Linked DNA regions of Anolis sagrei. The protein of the gene in region 1 interacts with the protein of each later gene in a pairwise test. Links are inferred from orthologs where the notes say so. Each region holds a gene or a part of one and is shown in the gene's direction. Other genes may lie near its edges.

Evidence for each region.
Region 2: the proteins of TBC1D22B (region 1) and DEUP1 interact in binary tests that used the Homo sapiens proteins (3 or more experiments, as listed by UniProt). The link is inferred for Anolis sagrei from reciprocal best matches to the Homo sapiens genes TBC1D22B and DEUP1.

Annotation. Positions count from the first base shown.
Region 1 is NC_090024.1:186,726,564-186,734,736, reverse strand, and holds the start of TBC1D22B (TBC1 domain family member 22B), read left to right. Parts: upstream 1-5,042; 5' UTR 5,043-5,070; coding exon 5,071-5,126; intron 5,127-8,173. UniProt on the Homo sapiens protein: May act as a GTPase-activating protein for Rab family protein(s).
Region 2 is NC_090023.1:19,127,078-19,135,222, forward strand, and holds the start of DEUP1 (deuterosome assembly protein 1), read left to right. Parts: upstream 1-5,049; 5' UTR 5,050-5,147; intron 5,148-8,145. UniProt on the Homo sapiens protein: Key structural component of the deuterosome, a structure that promotes de novo centriole amplification in multiciliated cells.

The DNA of each region.
Region 1 (8,173 bases):
TCGATTCAGTGTATGATTTTGCTTTTCCCCTCTTCATGCCGAATTTCCAAACATCTTTTCAGTCTAAACAGGCTCTCAGATTAAACATAAGCAAAGCATTAAACATAAGTAAGTATTTCGTCTTAGTAAGTGGTGTTACTCGACCAACATGCCATGGGATCTTTGAGAAAGTCTGATTAGGTGAAATTCAAAGATCTGTCTTTGATCAGCTGTTCTCGTAATAAACTCTAACAAGCTCTTCAACTGCTGCAACATATAAATTTTCAGGCAATATTGTGAGTGTATGTTAATTTTGGATTATATATGTTAAGTAAAAATAACTTTCAGAAGGAAATTGGTATTCCTAGCTCACTCTTCACTGAAAAAAAGAATGACTTACAGAGAGCAGTAATATAACATAAGTCTACTGTACTGTAAGAATAACCACGAAGGGTTTTGTGCTAGGTTGCTGTGAGTTATCTGGGATGTAAGGCCATGTTCCAGAAGCATTTTCTCCTGACGTTTCAGCCACATCTATGTCAGGCATCCTCAGAGGTTGTGAGATTAGTTGGAAACAAGCCACTTGGAGTTTATACATCTATGGAATGTCCAGGGTGGGAGAAAGAACTCTTGTCTGCTGGAAGCAAGTATGAATACTGCAACTGATCACCTTGATTAGCATTGAATAGCCTTTCAGCTTCAAGGCTTGGCTGTTTCCGCTCTGGGAGAATCTTTTGTTGGGAGGTGATTAGCTGGCCCTGATTGTTTCCTGTCTGGAATTCCCCTGGTTTGGAGTGTTGTTTTTTATTTACTGTCCTGATTTTGGAGCTTTTAAATACTGGTAGCCAGATTTTGTTCATTTTCATGGTTTCCTCCTTTCTGTTGAAATTGTCCACATGCTTGTGGATTTAAATGGCTTCTCTGTGTAGTCTGACATGGTGGTTGTTAAGAGGAGTCCAGCATAATATGCTTTTCCAGGTTGGTTCATCAGGTGCTCTGCTAAAATGAACTACAACAGGGAAAAATGTGTAGTATGACACAGGCAATAAAAATGAAATGCATCGATATAGCATGGATGATAGTGGGCTTGGATAACAGTCCATGTGAAAGGGATCAAGGTGTAGAATTGATGTAATCCTCATTTTAAAAGAATTATTCCCCTATCCCTGAACAAGAAGTTCAGCCAGGGAAAGGCTCTTGGTCTTAAGAGGGAGGGGATACCTCACCGTACATGGCAGGGCGATGTGCCCTCTTGCACATACCGCAAGATGCCATGGAGTTAACCTACTTTAAGAGAAAAACCTCACTCAAAAGAGGATTATCAGATGTGAGTAACTAAAAATCATGCCAGTAATCTTCATACTGGGATGGGATGGGGGCCTTTTAATTCTTTATTGCAGCAGTTAGGTAGTCTCTCTCTCTCTCCTTTTGGCTGTGTAACTGATTGAGCATTGTCACAACACAACAATACTGTGGAAACTCAAAAAGCCAAAAGTACATTTCACAGGGCAGGGAGAAACTCAGTCCCACATCTCCTATTCCTTAGAAGAATTTTTCAAAACACATTTGACAGGAATGCCGTCTTTCTTATTGTCATTCTGGCAAACCTATGGATGGGATAATTCTGCAGCAGAGGCGTTTGAAAGATTTCTCAAGATGAGGCATTTGCTTACTATTTACAGAGCATTCTTATAGATGTCTACCCAGATGGTGGGGTATTTTCTCAGGCAAGCCTGTCTAGGTGTGCAGCCTTAACCAGGTAACTCTGGGTTGGGAATGGGTAAACTTGGGCCCTCCAGGTGTTTTAGACTTCAACTTCCACAATTTATACAATGTCATGCTCTTTCCTTTCTCCCCTCAGCCGCTTAGGCAAAAAAGGAAGGGGCCTGAGGCTGGGTTGCTGTGAGTTTTCGAGGCTGTATGGCCATGTTCCAGAAGCATTTTCTCCTGATGTTTCACCCACATCTATGGCAGGCATCCTCAGCGGTTGAGGGGTCTGTTGGAAACTAGGCAAGTGAGGTTTATTTATCTGTGGAATGTCCAGGGTGGGAGAAAGAACTCTTGTCTGCTTGAGGCAAGTGTGAATGTTACAATTGGCCACCTTGATTAACAATTAATGGCCTTACAGCTTCAAAGCTTGGTTGCTTGCTGTCTGGGGAAATACTTTGTTTGGATGTGTTAGCTGGCCCTGATTGATTCTCGTCCAGAATTCCCCTGCTTTTTAGTGTAGTTCTTTATTTACTGTCCTGATTTTAGATTTTTTTAAAAAACCGGTAGCCAGATTTTGTTCATTTCCATGGTTTCCTCCTCTCCTCCTGTTGAAATTGTCCACATGCTTGTGGATTTCAATGGTTTCTCTGTGTAGTCTGACATGGTAGTTGTTAAAGTGGTCCAGCCTTTCTGTGTTCTTAAATAATATGCCATGCCCAGGTTGGTTAACCAGCACCCATAGGGATTGGTAGGTGCCAAATAAGTGTAGTTTCTGGTTGCTTGAGAGTTGCTATTCAAAACAAGCCTAATACTATATGCCGTACTATCTCATAAAACACTGTACTAACCTGACATTAGTATTCAAATATAGTAATTAAAAGCAAAATCAGAGAAATGTAACCTAGTTTCACTGTGTTATAAACACGTATTTTCAATTTAATGATTTATTCTATTTTAATGCTGGTTACTTGAGTGTTCTGGTTAACTGAGTCTATAGCAGACCTGGGTAAACTTAGGTCCTCCAGATGTTTTGGACTCCAGCTACCACCATTCCTAACAGCCTTAGGCCCTTTCCTTTCCCCCTCAGCTGTTTAAGCAGACATGAAAGATAGGAAGGGGCCCAAAGCTGTCCAAAAGCCTGGTCCCAGAACCACAACTTCAATTTCTTCCTAAAAGACAGGAGGGATGAAGCCGATCTTACCTCTTTGGGAAGCGAGTTCCACAGGCAGGGGGCTACAGCCAAGAAGGCCCTGTCTCTCGTCCCCGCCAGACGTATTTGCGACGCTGGTGGGAGCGAGAGCAGGGTCTCCCCGGATGATCTTAAACTGCAAGGCGGGATGTAGCGGGAGATGTGTTCAGATGAGTAAACTGGGCTAGAACCATATAGAGCTTTATAAGTCAAAACCAGCACTATGAATTGACTGGGTTGTTGTAGGTTTTTCCGGGCTATATGGCCATGTTCTAGAGGCATTTTATCCTGACGTTTTGCCTGCATCTATGGCAAGCATCCTCAGAGGTAGTGAGGTCTGTTGGAAGTAGGAAAATGGGTTTATATATCTGTGGAATGACCAGGGTGGGACAAAGGACTTTTGTCTGCTGGAGCTAGGTGTGAATGTTTCACACTATCAATTGAGTTTGGAAGTGGATCGGCAGCCAGGGGAGCTGACACAACAAGGGGGTGGTGTGCTCCCTGTATGTCACTGATTGTGTAAAAGGGCAGATGGTAATTTTGTCAGTGCTGATTGTGTTTAAGTGCAGGCCAAGGTCTTTAGGCACTGCACCCAGTGTGCCCATCACCACTGGGACCACCTTGACTGGTTTGTGCATTATTATTATTATTATCTTTCCCAAAGGCTCCTCCCGAGATCTCCTTCAGCTCTGTCTGAATCCTGTATTGGTTGGAAACAGCAGCCCCATCTTGTGCTACTTCTCAAACCACAGAGGCTGGATCCACACTGGGAGATGGAATGCACTTTGACACCCCTTTAACATGCCCAGTGTGGAACACATTTCACCACGCTAAAACAGTAGATGTGGCTCTTAATGAGACATGCCGCATTATCATGGGGTGCCTGCGCCCTACACCACTGGAGAAATTACACTGTCTAGCCGGTATTGCATCACCTGACCTCCGCTGGGAAGTAGCAGCCAATAGTGAAAGGACCAAGGCAGAGACATCTCCAGCTCATCCCTTGTTTGGATATCAGCCAGTACATCAACTTAAATCAAGAAATAGTTTTCTAAGATCTACAGAGACACTTGCTGGAACACCTCAGCAAGCGAGAGTCCAAAAGTGGCAGGCTCAAACCCAGAACCTCAACCAATGGCTGATACCAAATGAGAGACTCCCCCCTGGGCACACAGAGGACTGGGCGACTTGGAAGGCGCTGAACAGACTGCGCTCTGGCACCACAAGATGCAGAGCCAACCTTCAGAAATGGGGCTACAAAGTGGAATCCTTGACATGTGAGTGCAGAGTGGAGCAAACCACTGACCACCTGCTGCAATGCAACCTGAGCCCTGCCACATGCACAATGGAGGACCTTCTTATAATAACACCAGAGGCACTCCAAGTGGCCAGATACTGGTCAAAGGACATTTAATCAACTACCAAACTCGCAAACTTTGTGTTTTGTTTGTCTGTTTGTTAAAAAATGCAATGCAACTGTTTGGTCTGCTCCTTACACGATTAATAAACAAAAACCCCTTTAACTGCAATGGTTCCTGGCTGTGGAGTCCTGGGAGCTGTAGTTTGGAGAGGCACCAGGACCATTTGGGAAAGAAATTTAAAGACTTCCTAAAACTAAAGCCACAGCCTGGAGTGCTGGCAGCTAAAGTGGTGCCAGACTGCATTCCTTTTACAGTGTAGTGTTAGAGGCAGGCAAAGAGGTGGATGCCAGATCTGCCCTGAGTTTGCAAGCGCCTGGCCCGTGGCTTGGAAGGCCTGACTCGGGCCCCGTGCTTCTTTTGGAATCTCCCCCTCGCTGCATTACCTCGCCCTCCTTCCTCTTCACGCTCCTCCCGAAACCCGCGACCAGTTTTGACAGTTAAACCGCCTAACCGAACTCCGCCCCCTTCCCTTCCCTTCGCCCCGCCCCTTGGTTGCTATTGGGCGAACCGACCCGCCTCGCGCGCCCTTTCCGCGGCTTCTGATTGCTCGCTTCTGCCCTTCGCTGCTTCACGCAGTTCCTGGCTCAGGATTGGCTGGCTCGGTGGACGTCCGGCGAGGTAACCAATGGCTGGAGCGCGCTCGCCCGGATCCAAGATGGCGGCGCCGGGGACTGGCGAGGAGGGCCCCGAAGGAAGGAGCTGAAGCGGCCTCGGCCGGAGGCTTTGGGCCCCGGCGCCTGCCTGCCCTCGGAGCTGGCTTCTGCCCCAGCGATGGCTGCGGAAAGCAGCAAGCAGTTCTGGAAGCGGAGCGCCAAGCTACCGGGCAGGTGAGTGAGGCAAGGAGCGCCGGTGTCTCTGAGATCCCGCTGAGGCGATGCCGGTTCAGCCCCTCATGTCATGTGTGGCGCCTTCCGCGGCTCAGGCTCCCGAAGCAGAGAAGCGCCAACCATTAATGGGTCCACGAAGGAAAGGTGTTCCCTCTGCGGTTGAGGAGATCCCTCTCCCTCTCTCTCTCTCTCTCTCCCTCTCTCCGGGAATTCGCAGCCTTGTTGACCCCAACGGTCTTTGGCGGCGCTTGGCAACCACTTTGTTCGGCTTCCACCGCTCGAAGCTTCGAAATAGAGCTCTCCCCAGAAGCCTAGAATCTGTGCAATTTCATACCACGTTAACTGCTATGGCTCAGTGCTGTGAAATTGTAGTTTTACAAGGTCTTCAGCCTTCTTTGCCAGAGAGTGCTGGTGCCTCACCAAACTGCAGCTCTTAGGATTCAATGGCACAGAGCCATGGCAGTCAAAGTGGTGTCAAACTACATTGGATCTGCAAAATAGAGTCCAGCAAGACAGAGCCCTGTGAATAGGCTACGGCAGGAATGGGCAAACTTGGGCCCTCTCTCCAGGTGTTTTGGACTTCAGCTCCCACAATTCCTAACAGACCCAGGCTCCTACCTTCCCCCCCTCTGATGCTTAAGCGGCTTAAAGGGCTTGAATTTGTTAGGAATTGTGGGAGTTGAAGACCAAAATACCTGGAGAGAGGGCCCAAGTTTGCCCATGCCTGGGCTAGGGTCTTTCTCCTCGGATGAGAAGATGCTCCTTTATTTGCATGGGTCAGTCTGTGTTGATCTACCTTTGACATGCCACAGATATATAAACATCACTTGCCTAGTTTCCGGCAGACCCCTCAACTTTTGAGGATGGCTGCCATAGATGTGGGTGGAACGTCAGGAGATAATGCCTTTGGAACATGGTCATACAGCCCAGAAAACTCATAGCAACCCAGCCTCAGGCCCCTTCCTTTTCTGCCTAAGTGGCTGAGGGGGGAAAGGAAAGGGCATGAGGCTGTTAGGATTTGTGGGAGTTGAAGTCCAAATCACCTGGAGACAGGGCCCAACTTTGCGGAGTCTTTCACCTCGGATGAGAAGTTGTTCCTTTATTTTCATGGGTCATTATGCTGATCTGTTCCTGAACACTTCTGTTAAGGTTGCATACCAAATCAAGCTATGAGTTCTATCCTAAAGCACTGCTTCCAAAACTGCGAATGTCTGGCCCGAATGGGGCCCCCTTAGCTCAATGTTGGGGTCCCAAAAGATTTGGCAACAGTAGAAGCTTTCTGAATGTCACCTAGTGGCTCTTTTAGATGTTTACACAAATTGATTGTGTAGTGTTTACTCTGCAGAAAATGCCTCGGCTGTACTTTAAAAAAAGAGAAATCAGCCTGTTTAACAAGCCTTGTGAATGCAGATTGGTCAGTAAATTTTTGATATTATATACCCTGGTGGCACAGCGGGTTAAACTACTGAACTGCTGAACTTGCTAATCAAAAGGTTGGTGGTTCAAATTGGGGAGTGTGGTGAGCAGCCATTGTTAGGCCCAGCTTCTGCCAATCTAGCAGTTCAAAAACATGCAAGTGTGAGTAGATCAATAGGTACAGCTTCTGCAGGAAGGTGACGGTTCTCCATGGAGTTATGCTGGCCACATGATCTTGGAGGTGAATACAGACAATGCTGGCTCTTCGACTTAGAAATGGAGATGAGCATCATCCCCCAGAGTCGGACATGACTGGACTTAATGTCAGGGGAGGCCTATATACATAGGGTCATATAAAAATTACTTGGGCGAAAAGGAGTTCCGAATGGAAACGTTTTATAAGCCTTGTCCTAGGGTACCCTTTTCCTGTCAAAGGTGAAATTGTTTATGAAGAAGTTCAATACATGAGTCAGATATTACTATAAACACACACAAACAAACAAAATGAAGCAGAAGATCTAGGGCAGGAGTCCTCAAACTTTTTAAACAGAGGGCCAGTTCACGGTCACTCAGGCTGTTGAGGGACCAGACTATAGTTTGAAGAAGAAAAAACATGAATTAATTCATGCGCACATATCTTATTTGTCATAAAAAAACAAAAGAACAATACAGTACAAACCTGACACAACCATTTGGCAATGAAGAACAAATTTTAACCAACATAAAACTTACCAGTATTTCAATGGGAAGTATGGGCCTGCTTTTCGCTGATGAGATAGTCAAGTTAATTAGAATTGCTATTGTGCCTTCAAGTAGTTTCAGACCTAGGGCAACCCTAAGTCTTAAGTTTAGGGTGGGGGCTGAATAAATTCCCTTGGAGGGCTGCATCCTGCCTGTGGGCCTTAGTTTGGGGACCTTTGACCCAGGTTGCATCTAATTTGCCAAATGAATACAGTTTGACACTACCTTAACTGCCATGGCTGAATACTTTGGAATCATGGGAATTTTACTATGGTGAGATAACAATACCTTTGGCACGGAGGCGAAAGAATGTTCAAACCTACAACTCCTATGAATCCACACCTTGTAGCCATTGTAGTTGAAGTGATTTCAAACTTCATTAATTCTACAATGTAGATGCACCCTAGTCTTCTACTGTGGGAATCCTTTTATTAGTTTTGATTTCAGATCTTTCCATAGCACCTCCTTCCAAAATAGGTGAGATGACAGTCTGTGGTGCTTGAATTATAGAAAGGCCAGACAGCCTTCTCCTCCACTTCCTTTTTTGATTCCTCATAATTCAAGGGTAGATATGTACAAAATGCAAGGACTTTGGAATCAAATATTGATTTATTTCCTCTTTCATAATGAATTCTTATTGTATTGTTTGGGAACATGGACCCCAGGAAAATTATTGTTGAGAATAAATTTTGGCTATATTTGGGAGGGGTCTTGATTTGTACAAATTTCCGGTTTTGAGGAGAAGTTTCTTATACCAGAGTGTGCAAAAACATTAATTCTACATTAATTATATTACAACAACTTAGCAATGAATATTGAGAGGTAGGTTTTTAGTGCCTTCTTCTGAGATATGTCCTATGGCACCTGGTATTCGTTGGTGGTCCCCCATC
Region 2 (8,145 bases), on another chromosome or scaffold:
AGAGAGGAGATATGATAGCCATGTATAAATATGTGAGAGGAAGCCACAGGGAGGAGGGAGCAAGCTTGTTTTCTGCTTCCTTGGAGACTAGGACGCGGAACAATGGCTTCAAACTACAAGAGAGGAGATTCCATCTGAACATTAGGAAGAACTTCCTGACTGTGAGAGCCGTTCAGCAGTGGAACTCTTTGCCCCGGAGTGTGGTGGAGGCTCCTTCTTTGGATGCTTTTAAGCAGAGGCTGGATGGCCATCTGTCAGGGGTGATTTGAATGCAATATTCCTGCTTCTTGGCAGGGGGTTGGACTGGATGGCCCATGAGGTCTCTTCCAACTCTTTGATTCTATGATTCTATGAATTAATACCGAATTACGAAATTAACGAATGAAACCACCCAAGCCTAGATAATAGGATTGGACTCTCTCCAATGCAGTGATGCTGTGAGATTTAAAAGATTCTCCATCCCTGCTTTGGAGTATCTCACATCTCCTGTTACTTTAGCACAGCAGTGAATCATTTGCAGAAGTGGCAAGAAGAAAGCCTGCCTTCTCCCTCCTCTACTCGAACCTTATCCCCTCCATGAAGCCCGAAAAACACTACAGAAGCTGGCTAGACCCCAAAAGTCAAACGCATTCCTAGGAGAAAGCCCCAAGAGAGAATATTTTTATGCAGGTCTCAGCTGTAAAGCCCTAATGCCGGCTCCTTGCATCCTGAAGGAGGGATGATAGCTATTAACCACCCACAGAGAGCGGAAAAGAATATTCTCAGGTCATCATTTTTTTAAAAAAAAGGGAAACATTTTGTGCCTGCTTTTCCACCAAGTTTTGTGCTTTTATGACACAGGCAAATGTTTTCTTCTTCAAAAGTGAGATTTCTCTCCCTCTCAGGCTTTCATCTACACGGCTGAAAAGAATTCCCAGTAGGCCCTTTCTGCGGTGCGGTTTCGACTTTTCTTATCTCTGCCCTCTGTTTCATTGGCCAGAATAATTCCTGAGCCACAGGGGCTTAGGAGCATTTCCTTGAAACATCTTTCGATAATGAATGCAGGTGAGAGCTTTGCCTCAACAAAGCTCCACTTTTTATCGAGAACAGGACCTTTTCTGCATTGTGCCAAGATGATATTGGCTTGGCGGGTGGTGGGGGGAGTTATAATGAGGTCTGGCGTGGTCTTTGGGTAAAAAAACGGGGCTAAAAGTCAAATAATCTCATCCTGTTTTGCCCACCGAAATATGTTTGCCGTTTTCCTCACTGCGCAATAATTTCTTGATGTGTCAATGAAGGAGCAAAACCTCACATATGAACCAATGTGAAGTTTGTTATTACCATGTGCTTTAAATTTTAATTTTAACTGTTAGTTGCAAGATTTAAACTGTTGTATCATGCTTATCCTCCCCTTTTACCCTGCTTATGTATAGTTGTATGGACCAAGGGCAAGATGAATGGATGGCATCCTTGAAGTGACTGGACTGACCTTGAAGGAGCTGGGGTGGTGACGGCCGACAGAGAGCTCTGGCGTGGCCTGGTCCATGAGGTCACGAAAAGTCGGAGACGACTGAACAAATGAACAACAACATGTATTGGTTACTTATGGCTATCAATCAGTACTGTATGGCTCCACCTCTTCCTGCAGGAGGGGAGTGCTTCCTTTCTTTTCATTCTGCCATCAGAGTTTCTACCAGATGGACGTGAGTATGAGACTTGTCTCTAAAAGACCCTGATTTAAATTACCTCTCAGCACCAGTTCTGAGGTTTTTTATCCTTGAGATTTGTGATTCATGTTCAGACCAACCTGAATGACGTTGGAAGTCTCAAGCGCCTTCAAACCGGTTCTTTTGGCACCAAAGGAAGATCCTGAGTCTTCAAACATAGGCCATTTGAACTGGGGTTGTGGTTTGCTCCGGCATTCACAGCCATTGAGGAAAGAGGAAACTTGGAAAGGCTTCTCAGCTTCAAACACCTTGGACCCAAGACTAACTGAGATTGTAACATATATTTTCCTTCAACCCTCTGAAGTTTCCAGCTCATTGCTTTAAAGAAACAACTCTGTGATCAATAAAACTTATTTTGAGTTATTTACAGCGTTTTGGGTTTTTGAAAGTTCCAGTTTCTTATAGGAGGGCAAGAAGCAATCCCCTGGGGAAAGATGCCACGTCCATGCCTCCTTCATTAAGAATTATAGCCCCCAGGCGCAACAGCACAGCACCTACGAAGGAGGCGGGACTGAGAGCAGGGTCTCTCCAGATGATCTCAGTCTCCAAGATGGTTCATAGGGGGAGATACGTTCAAACAGGTAAGCTGGGCCGGAACCATTTAGGGCAGCGTTTCTCAACCTGGGGTCCAAGACCCCTGTGGGGGTTGCGAGGGGGTGTCAAAGGGGTCATCAAAGACAATAAGAAAACACAGTATTTTCTGTTGGTCATGGGGTTTATGTGTGGCAAGTTTGGCCCAGTTCTATTGTTGGTGCTGTTCAGAATGCTCTTTGATTGTAGGTGAACTATAAATCCTCTCAGAATTTACCTCCAACACCACAGTTCAGAAGCGTCTATCTTCCTTTGCTCAGCCTTCCCTATAGTCCAGCTCTCACATCCGTAGGTGACTATGGGGAATACCATTGGTTTAACTATGCAGATCTTTGTTGCCAGTGTGATGTCTTTACTCTTCACTATTTTATCAAGATTGGTCATTGCTCTCCTCCCAAGAAGTAAGCTTCTCCTGATTTCCTGGCTGCAGTCTCCGTTTGCAGTAATCTTTGCACCTAGAAATACAAAGTTTGTCACGGCCTTGACGTTTTATCCCTCTAATTGCCAGTTGTCAATCATTCTTGTTGTCATAATCTTGGTTTTTTAAATGTTTAACTGCAACCCAAATTTTGCGCATTCTTCTTTCACCTTGATTAGAAGGCTCCTCAGTTCCTCCTTGCTTTCAGCCATCAAAGTGGTGTCATCTGCATATCCATTGGTTACTATGGAGAATACCATTGCTTTGACTATGCAGATCTTCGTTGCTAGTGTGTTGTCTTTACTCTTCACTATTTTATCGAGATTGGTCATTGCTCTCCTCCTGAGAAGTAAACGTCTTCTGTTTTCCTGTCCACAGTCTGCGTCTTTGTTGTGGCTCAGTCTGAGTCTGAACTGTCTGGGCCTTATGCTGGGCCTGCTGGGCCTTCTGAGCCTGACTTTCTGCAGGATGACGAGGAGGCTGATGGGTTTCAGATTTCTGTACATGTTCCAGACGGGGCTAATAGTGTGGCTTCTGAAGAAGAAACAGCAAGTCTGTTCTCTGGAGAAAGGAATGTGCCGTTAGAGAAAGACAGTGAAACTCCACATCTGCAGGTGGAGACTCCTTTGACTCCTTTTGGTTCCCAGGGTGATCAGACCCAGCTGGGCCAAGATAAGGAGTTGCCCAGCCTTGAAGATAATAGTGAATTAATGAGTAGACAGGATCGTTTACCATTAAGAGTTCGCAGAAGCACTCATCTTGCCAGCAAGTATGCAGCCAAAGGTCAACGCAATGCTTTCATGTCAGGAAAACTTATTTAATGGTGTAGCCGACAGGCATTTTCTGTCAGTCCAATGTTGCTCCTTCCCTGTTAACTTCTGTGGAATTACCTTGGCTTTTGCGGAACGCTTCTGGCTTTTTTGAGACTTGGATTTTGATCCTGATTTCATTTGTGTACCATGGACTTTTGTTTGACCATTGCTAAGGGATTATGCTTCATGTTATTTACCTTTGAATCTTGGAAACTTTGCCTTTGCATTTAAGACTCTGTTTTGCCTATTGAACTTTTGCGTCCTTATTTCTCTGTTTTGATTTTGCTTTTTCTCAATAAACCTACAGCCTTGGTGTGTGGTGGTGTCTTGAGCAAGGAAGAAACTACCCTGAGTTGCGACAGTCTTTCTGCCTTTATATTCTGGGATATAGGGCTGTGTGGAAGGGCCCTTAATAGGCTTGCGAGAAAGCAGGTGGGGAAATGTCAGTGCTTGTGTGTACAGATACAGAATGGAGAATGCCTGGCTTGAGAGCAGTACGTGTGAAAAAGATCTTGGAGTCCTCATGGACAACAAGTTAAACATGAGCCAACAATGTGATGTGGCGGCAAAAAAAGCCAATGGGATTTTGGCCTGCATCAATAGGAGTATAGTGTCTAGATCCAGGGAAGTAATGCTACCCCTCTATTCCGCTTTGGTTAGACCACACCTGGAATATTGTGTCCAATTCTGGGCACCACAATTGAAGAGAGATGTTGACAAGCTGGAATGTGTCCAGAGGAGGGCGACTAAAATGATCAAGGGTCTGGAGAACAAGCCCTATGAGGAACGCCTTAAGGAGCTGGGCATGTTTAGCCTGAAGAAGAGAAGGCTGAGAGGAGATATGATAGCCATGTATAAATATGTGAAAGGAAGCCACAGGGAGGAGGGAGCAAGCTTGTTTTCTGCTTCCTTGGAGACTAGGACGCGGAACAATGGCTTCAAACTACAAGAGAGGAGATTCCATCTGAACATGAGGAAGAACTTCCTGACTGTGAGAGCCGTTCAGCAGTGGAACTCTCTGCCCCGGAGCGAGGTGGAGGCTCCTTCTTTGGAAGCTTTTAAACAGAGGTTGGATGGCCATCTGTCAGGGATGATTTGAATGCAACATTCCTGCTTCTTGGCAGGGGGTTGGACTGGATGGCCCATGAGGTCTCTTCCAAGTCTTTGAGTCTATGATTCTATGATTCTATGAAAGCAGGTGGGGAAAAGTCAGTGCTTGTGTGTACAGTTAGGCATGGACTCCTTTGGGCCCTCCAGGTGCTTTGAACTTCAACTCCCACAATTCCCAAATGGCTGTTGAAGTCCAAAACACCTGGAGGGAGGGCTGTAGTGGTGGTCTGCCATGCCAATGAGTGGAGAGTTGCCTGCTAGGCTTTGCCAGCTAGGCCTCAGCGTTGCCGTGGCAACGGGAGACGCCTGTAAGCCCCGCCCCGAATTGCCGCCGTGGGAAAGGCGGGCTCGGCGGCGGGAAGCAAGCAAAGGGCAGCAGGGAGGGAGGAGGGAGGCAGGGAGGGAGGGGAGAGGCCCCTTGCCCCACGGTGGGGAAAGAGCAGAGCCGCAGGGAGCCCACGGAAGGGCCACAGGGCGGGGAAGAGAGGCCCTTCCTCGAAGCCCAGCCAGGTAACCCACCTTCCCCCCTTCTCTGCTCCAAAGAATCCCTTCCTATGCTCAGAGGCACTCTTTGCCTGTCTGTTTCCCAGTTGCAACAGACTACTGAAAGAAAGCCCCCTCTACACTGCCCTATAACCCAGGGAGGGCCCTTCCACACAGCCCTCTATCCCAGAATATCCAGGCAGAAAATCCCACAATATCTGCTTTGAACCAGATTAATCTACATTGCCATCAAATCCAGTTTCTGAATCCACATTATCTGCTTTGGACTGGATTATATGACACTATGCTGTCACATAATCCAGTTCAATGCAGATTTCTGGATTTTATATGGCAATGTAGAAGGGGCCCCAAGTCCACACTCAGATAATGTGGGATTTCCTACCTGGGATACAGGGCTGTGTGGAAGGGTCCCCAGATTATCAAAGCAGATAATCCAGTGTCTATTTTGAACTGGATTATATGACCCTACGCTGCCACATAAACCAGTTCAAAGCAGATAACATGGATTTTATGAGGCTGGATCTGCACTGCCATATCTAATCCGGATTATCTGATTTGAACTGGATTATATGGCAGTGTAGACTCAGGTCTCTTCTACACTGCCCTATAACCCAGATTATCAAATCGGATAATCCACACCAACTGATTTGGACAGGATTATCTGACTCTAGACTGCCATATAATCCAGTTCAAAGCAGATTCTGTTGTTCATTTGTTCAGTCGTCTCTGACTCTTCGTGACCTCACGGACCAGCCCACGCCAGAGCTCCCTGTCGGCCGTCACCACCCCCAGCTCCTTCAAGGTCAGTCCAGTCACTTCAAGGATACCATCCATCCATCTTGCCCTTGGTCGGCCCCTCTTCCTTTTGCCTTCCACTTTCCCCAGCATAATTGTCTTCTCTAGGCTTTCCTGTCTCCTCATGATGTGGCCAAAGTACTTCAACTTTGTCTCTAGTATCTTTCCCTCCAATGAGCAGTCGGGCTTTATTTCCTGGAGGATGGACTGGTTGGATCTTCTCGCAGTCCAAGGCACTCCAAGCAGATTCTATGAATTATGTAATTGCAGTGTAGAAGGGGCCTCATATAATCCTATTCAAAGCAGATAATGTGGATTATCTGCTTTTATAATCTGGGTTATATGGCAGTGTAGAAGGGGCCTCACTCTTCTCTCGTCCCTTCTTGTTGACGCTTAATCTACACTGCCATCAAATCCAGTTTCTGAATCCACATTATCTGCTTTGAACTGAGTTATATGACACTATATTGCCATGTAATCCAGTTCAAAGCAAGACATCTGGAATTGAGTAACTGGATTATATAGCAGTGCAGACCCAGTTTGGATTATATGAGTCTACATTACGATGTAATCCAGTTCAAAGCAAATAATCTCGACTGACGGCCCTTCCACGCAGCCATATAACCCAGAATACCAAGGTAGATAATCCACAATATCTGCTTTGAACTGGCTTATCTGAGTCCATACTGCCATATAACTCAGTTCAGTGCAGATAATGTGGGATTTTATACAGCTGTGTGGAAGGGGCCTATGAAACCGGATTATATGTGGCAGTGTAGATAAGGCCTATTTTTATATTTTCCCCTCTCCCATTATGGTAGGGAACTGAAGGAAAGGTCCCACAGCCTGTGTGAAGAGGCATTCGCGTTTTCCACTTCCTTTCTCATTGATTCGGGTCTGACACCATAACAAAATTATTTCATTTTCTCATTGACCTCTTATAAGCAGTGAAGAAAAGTTTTCTTTTTATGCTCAGAGGCACTCTTTTCCTACTTTCTTTCTCTTGGTGATGTTAACAAAGGAGAGGGCTGAAGGAAAAGCTCCTCAAACTGTACCAAGAGACATTCACATTTTCCTATTATTATTATTATTATTATTAGTATACTATTATTATACTATTTCAAACTTCCGTACAGTGGCCCTTATTTCTCATGCCAGTAAGGTAATGCTCAAGATCCTGCAAGGAAGACTCCAGCAATACGTGGAGCGAGAGTTGCCAGATGTTCAAGTTGGGTTTAGAAAAGGCAGAGGAACGAGAGACCAAATTGCCAATATCCGCTGGATAATGGAGAAAGGCAGGGAGTTTCAGAAAAACATCTACTTCTGCTTCATTGACTATTCTAAAGCCTTTGACTGTGTGGATCATAATAAATTGTGGCAAGTTCTTAGTGGGATGGGCATCCCAAGCCACCTTGTCTCTCTCCTGAGGAATCTGTACAAGGACCAAGTAGCAACAGTCAGAACTGACCACGGAACAACAGACTGGTTCAAGATTGGGAAAGGCGTACGGCAAGGCTGCATCCTCTCACCCAACCTTTTTAACTTGTATGCAGAACACATCATGCGATGTGCGGGGCTGGATGAATGCAAAGCTGGGGTGAAAATTGCTGGAAGAAACATTAACAACCTCAGATATGCAGATGACACCACTCTGATGGCCGAAAGCGAGGAAGAGCTGAGGAGCTTCTAATCAAGGTGAAAGAGGAAAGCGCAAAAGCCGGGTTGCAGCTAAACGTCAAAAAAACCAAGATTATGGCAACAAGAATGATTGACAACTGGAAAATAGAGGGAGAAACCGTGGAGGCCGTGACAGACTTTGTATTTCTAGGTACAAAGATTACTGCAGATGCAGACTGTAGCCAGGAAATCAGAAGACGCTTACTTCTTGGGAGGAGAGCAATGTCCAGTCTCGATAAAATAGTGAAGAGTAGAGACATCAGACTGGCAACAAAGATCCGCCTAGTCAAAGCCATGGTATTCCCTGTAGTCACCTACGGATGTGAGAGCTGGACCTTAGGGAAGGCTGAGCGAAGGAAGATCGATGCTTTTGAGCTGTGGTGTTGGAGGAAAGTGCTGAGAGTGCCTTGGACTGCGAGAAGATCCAACCAGTCCATCCTCCAGGAAATAAAGCCCGACTGCTCACTGGAGGGAAAGATACTAGAGACAAAGTTGAAGTACTTTGGCCACATCATGAGGAGACAGGAAAGCC